Linked DNA regions of Struthio camelus. The protein of the gene in region 2 purifies or fractionates together with the protein of the main gene of each other region. This does not show direct contact. Links are inferred from orthologs where the notes say so. Each region holds a gene or a part of one and is shown on either strand. Other genes may lie near its edges.

What was found.
Region 1: the proteins of FUS (region 2) and KHDRBS1 purify together in Homo sapiens (affinity purification with mass spectrometry; 3 studies listed by BioGRID and IntAct, with this or other methods). This does not show direct contact. The link is inferred for Struthio camelus from reciprocal best matches to the Homo sapiens genes FUS and KHDRBS1.
Region 3: the proteins of FUS (region 2) and DDX17 purify together in Homo sapiens (affinity purification with mass spectrometry; 5 studies listed by BioGRID and IntAct, with this or other methods). This does not show direct contact. The link is inferred for Struthio camelus from reciprocal best matches to the Homo sapiens genes FUS and DDX17.

Annotation. Positions count from the first base shown.
Region 1 is NC_090964.1:8,675,645-8,679,387, reverse strand, and holds the start of KHDRBS1 (KH domain-containing, RNA-binding, signal transduction-associated protein 1), read left to right. Parts: upstream 1-1,143; 5' UTR 1,144-1,278; coding exon 1,279-1,372; intron 1,373-3,743. UniProt on the Homo sapiens protein: Recruited and tyrosine phosphorylated by several receptor systems, for example the T-cell, leptin and insulin receptors. Once phosphorylated, functions as an adapter protein in signal transduction cascades by binding to SH2 and SH3 domain-containing proteins.
Region 2 is NC_090973.1:351,586-355,328, reverse strand, and holds the start of FUS (RNA-binding protein FUS), read left to right. Parts: upstream 1-1,451; 5' UTR 1,452-1,567; coding exon 1,568-1,580; intron 1,581-3,146; coding exon 3,147-3,171; intron 3,172-3,312; coding exon 3,313-3,467; intron 3,468-3,565; coding exon 3,566-3,710; intron 3,711-3,743. UniProt on the Homo sapiens protein: DNA/RNA-binding protein that plays a role in various cellular processes such as transcription regulation, RNA splicing, RNA transport, DNA repair and damage response. Binds to ssRNA containing the consensus sequence 5'-AGGUAA-3'.
Region 3 is NC_090942.1:58,322,799-58,326,541, reverse strand, and holds the start of DDX17 (probable ATP-dependent RNA helicase DDX17), read right to left. Parts: upstream 2,895-3,743; 5' UTR 2,568-2,894; coding exon 2,524-2,567; intron 1-2,523. UniProt on the Homo sapiens protein: As an RNA helicase, unwinds RNA and alters RNA structures through ATP binding and hydrolysis.

The DNA.
Region 1 (3,743 bases), on a different chromosome or scaffold from region 2:
AAGCTCAGCTCCCACACAGGTGCTGCCAAGGCCCCATACTGCAGCACAGGGCCACAGGGGCAGGCAGGGGAAGGCTCAGCTCCCACACAGGTGCTGCCAAGGCCCCAGGCAGGCAGGGGAAGGCTCAGCTCCCACACAGGCACTGCTGAGGCCTCATACCACAGCACACGGCTGCAGGGGCAGGTAGGCCAAGGACCCAACTCCCAAAGCAGGCTGTGCCCCGCTCACCACGCCCACCGAGGCCCAGGCACTTTGCGCTGCCCAAGGCACTGCCCCGCCGTCACTCTCGGGCCGCAGCCCGGGCCGGAGCCCCTCCGCCACCCCAGGGCCTACGACACGCCTCGCACCTCACGCCTATCTCCACAGAGACGCACAGCCACAGGGCGCATGCGCGCCAGCCGCTTTGTTCTCGAGCGGGCAGCCACTGCGCATGCGCAACACAGACCTTCCCCCCCCCCACACACACACACACATATACACACATACACGCAGGCGCTGTGAATCCCCTGCGGGATAAGTTTCTCGGCAGCTGGTGACTAATGTCACACCGCTGCATCTGCGCATGCGCAGTCAGGGCAGCGGGGCGGCCGTCGCTCCCCACGTGTCGCTTTCCGCTTTCGCGGGCCCGGCACTGCGCATGCGTCCCAAGAGCGCGCCTCGTTCCCGCGGGCGGCGGGCGGCGCACGCGCGGCCCAGGGGGCGGGCCGTGAGGAGCGCGGCGGGGCGGGGCGGGGTGGGGAGGGGGGTGGCGCGCGGCTGCGTGCCGGCGCAGGCGCAGAGGCGCGCGGGGTGGTCGCGCGGGAGCTGCGGCGGAGTGGGGGGGGGCGGGGAAGTGCGGGGGGGGGGAGTGAGAGAGAGGGAGAGGGAGGGAGGGAGAGAGCGGCAGAAGGGGGGGGCGGTCCTTCCGGCCCCTCACTTCCGGCCGTGGCGCCGCGGCGGACGGTGTGGCAGCGCCGCGCTCGGCCCGCTCCGCGCCCGCCGCCGCCCCCCGCCGCCCGCATGCAGCGCCGTGACGACCCCGCCGCCCGCCTGGGCCGGGGGCCGGGCCCCGGCGGCGCCCGGCAAGGGGCGCCCCCCCCGCGGCGGCCGCCCCGCGGAGGAGGAGGAGGAGGAGGTGGCGGCGGAGGAGGAGGAGGAGGAGGTGGGGGGGGCCGAGGCGCCGCCGCCACCGGGGCGCAGCCGCCGCCGCTCCTACCGCCCAGCGCCACAGCGGCCGCCTCGGCCGCCCAGGCCCCCGCCGCCGCCCCCACCCCGCTGCTGCCGGGGGCCGCCGTCAAGATGGAGCCCGAGAACAAATACCTGCCGGAGTTGATGGCCGAGAAGGACAGCCTCGACCCGTCCTTCACGCACGCCATGCAGCTCCTCACGGCAGGTACCGCGGCCGGGGGGGCGGCGGGCAGGGCGGGGGGGGGGGCCCGGCCGCCGCTGACCCCTCTTGGCCGCCCTGCCCGGGGCTGCGAGCGCCGAGGGCCCCCGGGGAGCGGCCCCGGGTGAGATGCGCCCCGCCTCCCTCGGTGGTGGGGGGGTTACCGAGATATTTCTATTATTTAATCTCTGTTTAGCGCCCTCCCCCTCCTCCGTGCTTAGCCTGGATTAAGCACAAACCTAGAACTTTCTTTTTGATAAGCAAGGTACGGTCGTGTTCCCCCTTTTCGTCCCTGGGGGAAGAGGGGACCCGAGAGAACGGTGAAGACTGGGGTTTTCCAGGTAGCGTCTGCTGGAGCCCCTGCGAGGCGTGATTTGTGATCTCTTTGCATTTCTACTCTGGAAATCCGTATTAGAGCTTGTTTCATGCTTTTGATGAGCCTAAATAGGGAATGGAAATGGCAGTCTTTGTTCTGTGCCCAGACTAGCCTTCTCCTTCCCCATCACCACTGTCCAATCGCCTGGCGGCTCTGATTTCTCCCTATCTCTCCAGTGCAGCTGCTGCACCCGCATTTGGTGGCTGTATCAAGTAGACTCAGCTGCCTCACGACACTGTAGTTAGCTTAAAAATTGGAACAAGTTAAGCAATTTCTGCCACTTACTGCTTAATGTGCATGGAGTGGAGAGCTGGGATGTGCTCAGCACAAGAAGGATGAACTCGGATTCGATTTACAGATGAGCAGAGTGCTTAGCTCTCTAGTTATTACCATTCTGTTTCTAAATGTTTTTTTTTAAACAGTCTTTAAAGTATGTAATGTGGCTGTAATCGTTGCAGTGCTAGAGACTTTATTAAGACTTGCTGTCTCCCATTGTACAAGTAACTGAGATATGTCAATGTCATGAGTGACTTGGCATCGCTCATGGGCATCTTGATCTCCATAAATCAGTTTTATAGTCTGATTTGCCACAATTTTTTTTTATTAATAAAACCCTTTAGCCAGCTGATGCTCAACAGCTCTGTGATAATGCCTTGCGGTGAAATGAAACCTAAGGAATTTGCTAATTCCTGCTCAAAGAACAGCGTTCTCATCCCATTTAGCAAAGCTTCATTCACTGAGTGCTGTCGCAAGGATTTATGAGTTTTTCATCAATTTAAAAATTGCTGATAGTAGAGCGCAGCTTTGTGAGACTTAGGATTGATCATTGGAAGAGCTCCAGATGCTTCTGCCTTGCTTTGGTTATTTGAAAATTCCTGTCCTTTGGGAGCATTCACTAGGCAGCCCAAACTTAGGGCGATCTAAGCAGGAGGCTCGTGAGAGAGAATCTGAAATAAAGCCACCGTTTTAGGAGCCTCTTTTTGCACAGATGACCAGCTGTTCCCCAACTGACCTGGATTGCTCAGAATTTCTCTACTGCTGTGGCACCCTTTGAGTATGTCGTGTTGAAGAGCCAGCTGAAAAATCTCACTTTGGAATTTAAGTCTGGGTCAAAGATTGTAATGCGTGTGTGCAGCGTGACTTCATCAAAATGATTTTTCAGACAGGCTTTCAAAACGACTGGTCACGGAACAGCAGCAGTATCCCTATCCCTATGCCAGCCTTTTCTCAAGAATGCAAGTTCATGCTGCATTCCGGAGGAACTCCTGCAGGAGTTCTGCACTGAAACTAAGACATCTTGTTTAAAAACAGTATTTTAAAGTAGTCCAAAATACTTGTGTGGTTCTAGTGCTGCTTAGCTTTTCTGAAAGAAATCAGCATTGTTTAGGAGCAAGATGAAGGGCAACGCAGTGACATAATCCTAATTCTTGAACAATGGGCTGTGTGATCAAAAGGGAGAAAAGTGGCTACCTTTTAGGGTTCTGTAGCACAGCACCCCGAATAGAAATCGAAAACTGGGGTTTCTTACCCTTTGGAATAGGATCCATGTCTCCTCACTTTTATGACTCGGGGTCTACATGGCCTTCCCTTTCCATAGGAACAAGAAAATCCCTTTCCCTCACTTTGATTTATGCCCTTCATCTGTTGCGGGGGCAGGGGGGATGCTGATGCTTTGAAAGGCGCAATTTTCTCTGCTTATGTGCATTGGGAGGATGGGAGACATCTACCGATGTAAGTGTTAGCCAGGCATGTTTTTTTCAAGTTCATGTGTTAATCTTAGCAAGCTCTCTTCATTTCATGGTGGAACTCTCCTTGAAAAGAGCAGGCCTCTTCACCTCTGAGCTTCCAGTGCTACAAATAAATGTGTAAGCCCCATCTCCGCTCCACTAATGGATCTCTACATTGCTAGCATCTAATTGGTCCTCATGTTAAATGCAGCCCTTTACCTCCCCAGACACGTAGAGTGGTGAGGAGGGATGGAGATGGATGGTGAGGGCTAAG
Region 2 (3,743 bases):
CCTGTCCTTCCTCCCTGGGGGTCACCGTCGTCTTCCTCGGGGTCCCGTCCTTCCTCCTCGGGGTCCCGTCCTTCCTCCTCGGGGTTGGCCCTATAGGAGCCCCTGGAGACCCCCCCACTGGCCCTATACGACCCCCATAGGCCCCTTGCCCAGCGCCAGGCCCTATACAACCCCCCCAGCTCCCCCCACCGCTCCCTAGGTGGGGCCGGCCCCTATAGACCGCCGCGGGCTCCCTACCCCGTGCTGGACCCTATAGAGCTCCGTACGCGGCACCGGACCCTATAGGGGCCCCGTAGGCTCCCGGGGCTGTTTTTAGCCCTGACATTTGGGGGCGGCCAAATCCTGGGAGGGAAGGGGTGGGTGGGGGGTCTATATGGGGCAGATCTATAGGGGGAGTCTATAGGGGGCCCCGCCAACGCCATGGGGGGGCCGTCCCCCGCCCAGGGCGGCGTTTTACGCCCGAGAAAGGCGTTTTTGGGGGCTTTTTGTGCCCTTCCCGACGGCACCTGGCGCCCCTGGAGACCCCCCAGTGGGGGTCAAGCCTATAGGGGCCCGTGGAGAGGGCTGAACCCTATAGGGGCCCGTGGAGACCCCCCGGGGGGAGGCTGCATGTGGAGGCCGCTATAGGGCAGGAGCTCCTTATAGGGCACAGAGTCCCTATAGGGCAGGGGCTCCCTATAGGGCAGGCACCGCTATAGGGCAGGAGCTCCCTATGGGGCACAGACTCCCTATAGGGCAGGGCCCCTATAGGGCAGGGGCTCCCTATAGGGCACAGACTCCCTATAGGGCAGGAGCTCCCTATAGGGCACAGACTCCCTATAGGGCAGGGGTTCCATATAGGGCAGGGCCCCTATGGGGCAGGGGCTCCCTATATGGCACAGAGTCCCTATAGGGCAGGAGGTCCCTATAGGGCAGGGCCCCTATGGGGCAGGCACCGCTATAGGGCACAGGCTCCCTATGGGGCAGGCACTGCTATAGGGCACAGGCTCCCTATGGGGCAGGGGCTCCCTATGGGGCAGGGGTTCCCTATGGGGCAGGGGCTCCCTATAGGGTCTCCATGGGGGGGGCAGGGCTGGCCGTAGGGTCCCCGCGGAGCTGGGGGGCGGTTCCTGGGGACCCCCTATAGGCCCCTTATAGCCCCTCCCCATAGGCTCCCTATAGGGCCCCCTACAGGCCCCCTATAGGCTGCTTGGGAGGGGGCGGGACCAGGCGCCTCCCCCCTCTCTCCCCCCCCCCGCCGCCGCCGCGAATGGTCTCGCCCCGCCTGCCCGGCCCCGCCCCTCCCTTCCCTCGGCGCGTTCCATCCCGCAGGGAGGGAGGGGGGGGGAGGGAGAAGGCGGAGGCGGTGCCGACCGGGGGGGGGGGGGAACCCGCTTGGCTCCCTCCTCCCCCTCCCCCCGAGCCCGCGCGTGGCGGTGGTACGGTCCGGCGGAAGCTATAAAAAGGCGGCGGGCGGCGGGCGGGGGCGCAGTGCGGGGCAGGGCGGGCGCGGGTGCGCCACGTGTGAGGGGAGGGGGGAGGAAAGGGGGGGAGCAAAGAAAGGGCGCCGGAGCAGCGCGACACCGCCATGGCCTCCAACGGTGAGGGGGGCCGCCGGTACCGGGAAGGGGGGGGATGTCCCTAGCTCGGCGCTCGCCGCCCCGTTTCCTCTTAATTTTACCTACGGGAGCGATAAGCGAGATAGAGATTTTTTTTTTTTAATCGTTATGGGGGGGGGGTGTTGCCCCCCCCACACGCTTTGCGAACCGCGCGGCCCCCAGGGTGGGATTGGGTTTTTTTTTAACGTTTAATCTCCTCATGCGTTGGCGGTGCGCGGGTTTTTTTGCAGCTTGTTGTGGGTGTTTTTTTTTTTTGGGGGGGGGTGATATAACGGGTAGTTCCCCCCCCCCCCCACCGCTTACGGAGCGGCACGGTGGTGCCGCCGGGGGTGTTGCTGGCGGCCCGGATGCGGGAAGCGGTGGCGGTGGGGAGGGAAAAATGAGCATAAGTGACTGAAAGAAGAGGGAAAAGGAAGGTTCTGGAAGGGAGGCGAAGCCTTTGAAGGCGGGGATGGGGGGGGAGGGAGGAGGGAGCCCTTTGGTTCCCGCGGCTGCCGGCCGCCATTTTGTGTGGCGCGGGGGCGGGGCGCCGCTTTTCCAACTGCGCCACTCGCGGGCGCCATTTTGTGCGTGGTGGCGGCGGGAGGGTGGGGGCGACGGCGCATGCGCGGCGGCGGCGGGAGAGGGGGGGACGCGCGGCGGAGCGCGCATGCGCGGCGGGAGAGGGGGCGCGACGCGGCGGCGCATGCGCGGCGGCGGGAGAGGGGGACGCGCGGCGGAGCGCGCATGCGCGGCGGCGGCGGGAGAGGGGGGCGCGACGCGGCGGCGCATGCGCGGCGGCGGGAGGGGGAGCGCGCATGCGCGGCGGTGGCTGCCGCAGTCCGACATCCGGGGACTTAAAAGTGTGTGTGTGTGGGGGGGGGGGGATAATATGAAGGTGCCCGAGGCGGGTAAATACCCGCCGCGGCCTGGGTGAATATTGCTGGGCTTATTGATGGGGGGGGGAATCGCTTCCTCTTGCGGTGTGGGGGAGGGGTAACGGTCCGCTCCCGACAAAGCGGAGAGAAATCAGCGCTTGTTGTCTTTGTTGGTGGGGAAACATCGTTTCTGGCGCTTTCGGGGGGGGGAAGACGGTGGTTTGGGGGCGTTGGTGGAGCTGGGCGCGCTTCGTTTGGTGTTTGGCGCCGTAACCGTAGCGCCCGTAACAAGTGAGGGGCTGGGCTGGGGAATAAACGCCACCTTCCAGGTTAGAGCGTGTCGGGGTGGGCAAACGGACCCCCCCCCCACCCCCAGGCTGGGTGCTTGTGCCCCCGGCTGCGCCCTGGGGGAGAGGGGTCGGCCTTCGTCCCCGCCGCTGGGGTTCTTCTCGGGGCTCCCAGCGTGCGGCTGAAGCCCTGGCTCGGGGGGAGGGTGGGAGCCGCCCCCCCCCCCGGCTCTGCTCGCGGCGGGTCCCCTTCCGGCCTTCCCCAGGGCCGGAGAGGCCTCAGACGCTCCCTGCCCGCCTCCCGAAACGCGGCGATCCCGGCGGGCGGGCGGGCGACGCGTCGCGCGAGCCGTGAGGAAACGGCGGCGACGCGATGGCGTGTCCCTTCCTCTTTCCTCTCGCAGATTACAGCCAGACGGCAACCCAGAGGTACGTCGCAGCTCGGGGCGTTGCGCGCGGGGCGGGGGAACGCGGCCGGGCCGCGGCCGGGCCGCGGCTCCTCCGGCGGCGTTTGCCGCCCCCGCGCTGGGCCTGACGGCGCCTTTCTCCCCTCCCTCGCTGGGCCGCCAGCTACGGGGCGTACCCCACCCCGCCGGGGCAGGGCTACTCGCAGCAGAGCAGCCAGCCCTACGGGCAGCAGAGCTACAGCGGTTACAGCCAGTCCACCGACACCTCGGGCTACGGGCAGAACAGCTACAGCTCCTCCTACGGCCAGACCCAAAGCAGTGAGTGTGGCCGGCGCCTGCCGGCCTTGCGGGGACGGGGCCCCTCCGCCGTGCCCGCAGGAGCTTTCCTTCCTCCTCCTCCTCCTCCTCTCTCCCAGCTGGCTACAGCACCCAGTCGACGCCGCAGGCCTACGGCACGAGCAGCGGCTACGGCGGCAGCCAGTCGTCGCAGACCTCCTACGGGCAGCCCTCCTCCTACCCCAGCTACTCGCAGCCGCCGGCGGCCAGCTCCTCCACCGGCAGGTAGCCGCCGGGCCGCGGGGGTTTCGGGGCGGG
Region 3 (3,743 bases), on a different chromosome or scaffold from region 2:
CTTTTGAGACAAAGTAAGAGAGTCAGTACAGATCATCAGTTACAGAAACATTCATCTTTACTGACGATATCTGCTACTGATTGTGCTAATCTGAGGTTAAAAAAAAGTCAGATATTTATGAATCTAAGTAACTCTAACAAAATGAATAGTCTCACTGAAGTCAGCTGGAGAGTCAAACTGTGAATAAGTTTACAAAGAATTGACTGCAAGATCAGACAGTAAAACAGCTGGGTATTATAAATATTTGCTCTTTGGCTATCCAGAAGAATACAATGTATTTTGCATAAAAGTCATATAGTTTCAGTTCTTCATTCTTATACACAGTAAGACTGTATGTTGACCTGAAAGAAGTGAGCCCTACATCATTCCTGAAATGCAGCCTCTCACAGAATTTACCTACTCACCTGGAAGTAACTGACACTTCACAATCTCATTACAAGTAATAATCATATTCCAATTCCAGTTAAACTGATTTAAATCTAGGGATATTTCACTGGTTTATCAAGAGTTCTCATTTCAATTAAGTGGAAATTTAGACTGATCCAAAACAATCTGCTCTGGTACTATTGTGCCGTCGTTTATCAACTAAATAAACTAAATCAATTTATTCAATTCCAAAGCACAACAGCATAACTTTCCATGCTAAAGAGTCATCTACAACTTGCTCATGACAGAAGGAAAATAGAAAGCTTGTATTCAGTTGTCTTATAAATGAACCAGCACTGAGAAGGTTAAACTTCTAAACGGAGCTTGACTACCAGGCTGGGTCACCCAAAATTTAAGAGAAGTATTTATGAAAAGATGGTTGCTAGTCATTACAAATACTTCCAGACCTTAAATAGATGGGCATACCAAAGTGAACCCTGACGCATCAAAACTTCCAGTGTAATAGCCCAAGAATAAGATTTTTCATGTAAAACATACAAAATCTTTACAAATAAGCATTTAAGCACTTACTTATGCAACACCTCCGTTTTAAAAGAGAAGTATTTGTCAACAATCAAATTCTTTACACAAAACCAGATTACACAAATTTTAAGGCACATTAAGTATCATGACAATGTTTTCAACTGTGTTCCTTTAAGTAACTGTATATAAATCTGCATACTCAAATTCAGTCACTAAACTCCTAAAAAAAAGCTGGGATCTGAACAATCTCAGGCTCACCAAAGTGTTTACTCCAATGTCCTTGTGTTAAACTAAGCTGGAAAGCTCATAGTGGAAAAACACCAGAACTCTCCTCTCTGTAAAGAAACTAAAACGATCTTTAAATTTAATTTCTGAACATGAAACAGTGGGTGTCAAGATAAAGCAAGAACACAGCTATCTCTCTCCACAGAGAGAGCTAAATATTAAGTTACAATTCAACATATAAACAAAATATTCCTGATCTCTCAGTGGGAGGGAAACAAAAAAAAAAAAACACTCATTCTTAACATGGCAGACTGGATTTCGATTAATAACAAAACCCACATATGCTTATCATTATCCTTGAGAATGAAGGCCTAAACTATTTGTAATTTAAAGGAGAGAAAGGGACAATCTCTCCCGAATTTAGTTCTTAATTTTCTCTTTAGAAAAGCTTGGGATAGGAGTCTTATGATTTCTTAATTCTTTAAAAAAAAAAAAAAAGTCAAAGTCTCAAGCCATTTATATACTGCTATACCAGCCTATGTTATGCTTACCCTAATGATACCCAGAGCACATTATATTTATTACTACCGTCCTCAGAGAAAAATCAAACCTGCATAAACCTTTTCTAAACCAAACTTTCTTGAGATAGTAGTATCAAGAGTATCAAATACCAGGCCTTCGCAGTGCCACAGAGACAACTTCTCTTTGATTGCTACCTAAGTAAGCTTGGTCATGCTTTTTAAGTGTGGTCCAGGGCCATGTTTACTGAGATCAGGCTCCTGAGAATGCAACTCCCCTGCATGGTAGCAGTTTTCAATTCTATTTCCTCTCCGGATAAGCCTGGGAGTGCTACTGAGAAAGATCTTTCACCAACTGCCATCTTTCTGAAAAGTCCAGAAGGAGCAATGACAACCCGAAGGGCAGAGTATCCAACCACCCTTTCCAGGGCCACCAAGACCTTCGTTATTTCCAGGGGGGAGTACGATGAAGGAAAATGGAGGTGGCAGGAAAAAAAAAAATTAATAATAACGCGGGGGGGGGGGCAGGAGGACCTTAAAATTGAAAGTGAGGCACATGGTTACACGTGAAGGAAGGAAAAGCAAAATTAAAACAATAACCACCACCCCTTGCTGCCAGAACCCCGGTAGGAATAACGTCTCCAGCTCCCACCCCACCCTGGAATAAAGATATAGGGTGAAAAAAAACTGTCCCAAATACCGCAGCCACGATCAACCTCCCCCCCCTTTACTGCCCCACGATTCCCTCCCGCCCGCCTCCCCCTCGCCTGGCTCCTAAGCCAAAGGAGGGGGCCCCCTCCACCTCCCCCCCCACCGCGCCGCGCCCCCTCCCCCAGGCCCAGCCTTCCCTCCCTTCCCCCCCTCCCCTTACCCGCCGCGGTCTCGGTCGCGGCCCCGGTCTCCGAAGCCTCTCATGGCACCCGGGGGGGTGGGTGAAAGGCAGCGGAATGCTGGCCGTGGGGAGGGTGAGGGACTAGGGGTACGGGGAGAGGGTCCAGCCAGGGGCGGCTGTGCCTCGGCGGAGTCGCTTTGCGCCACCTCGCTTCTTGGGAGGGATACAAAAGGAGAAGAAGTGGTCAGTGGGTCAGAGACCCGCTGAACGTCGGCGGACGGGACGGCGGGGTTCTCGGTAGGCTCCAGGGCCCGTGAAGTGTGGAGACACCAGCGTCTTCTTCCTCCGGGCTCCCGGCACAAAATGGCTGCCGCCTCTCCAACCCGCTTCACTTACGTTACGGGCGGCCCGGCGCTGCGCAAATTCCGGCCCTCGAAAATATCTGCACCTATTCTCGGAACCCAACTACGCCCTAAGCGCTCTTCGCGAAACACTGTTCCGCACAGCGGGCAGGTTACGAAAGTTACGTAGTGTTCTGTGCTTAAGCGGGGCCCCTGCGTCAGGAGGGGAGGGGGGAGAGTAACACTCTCCCTATTCCTCAAAGTCTGCTACGTAAGGAGTCGATCTTGCAACCCCTTCTGGACGGTAGGGAAAACCCAGGCCGAGCCGTACGTTACGTAAGAGCACTGCGTACGCAAGTTGCGCAACTCGGGCTGGCGTAGGGGAGGACGAGCCCGCCCGTTTTGCGTAAAATTCTTCCGTAGGTTTTGCTGGAAGGGCTGGCGGATTACGTTAACTTTGCAGCGTAGTCGAGCTTGGAGAATACGGCCTTTTGCCTACGCGGCCGCTGTCCCCCTGGAAGGCGGCTTCGGGGCTGAGGAGACAATAGCGGAAGCGCGGGTGCCCGCGGCCTCTGCGGCGGCTCCAGCAGGACTGCGCGGGGCCGGTTATGTTTGGTTTCTTCGCGCCTTTTTTTCCTCGCAGATGCCTGGAGGGGATCTTGGCGCCGCGCACAGCGCTGAACCCGTAACAGGAGCGACAGCAGCCATGATGTTTGCTTTCTCCTTATTTCTAGGAGGCTGGAAGAAACTGGTGTAATGCATCCAAAAATGGCTTAATACTCGGCCCTGGTGACCCCCCTCCATAACTGCAGGAGCCTCATAGCAACGTCTCCAGAAAGTCAACTGCTAAAGAATTCACACTTTTGCTAACTATAATGTTATTCCATGGGGTGATACACTGAATGTTTACAAATGGAA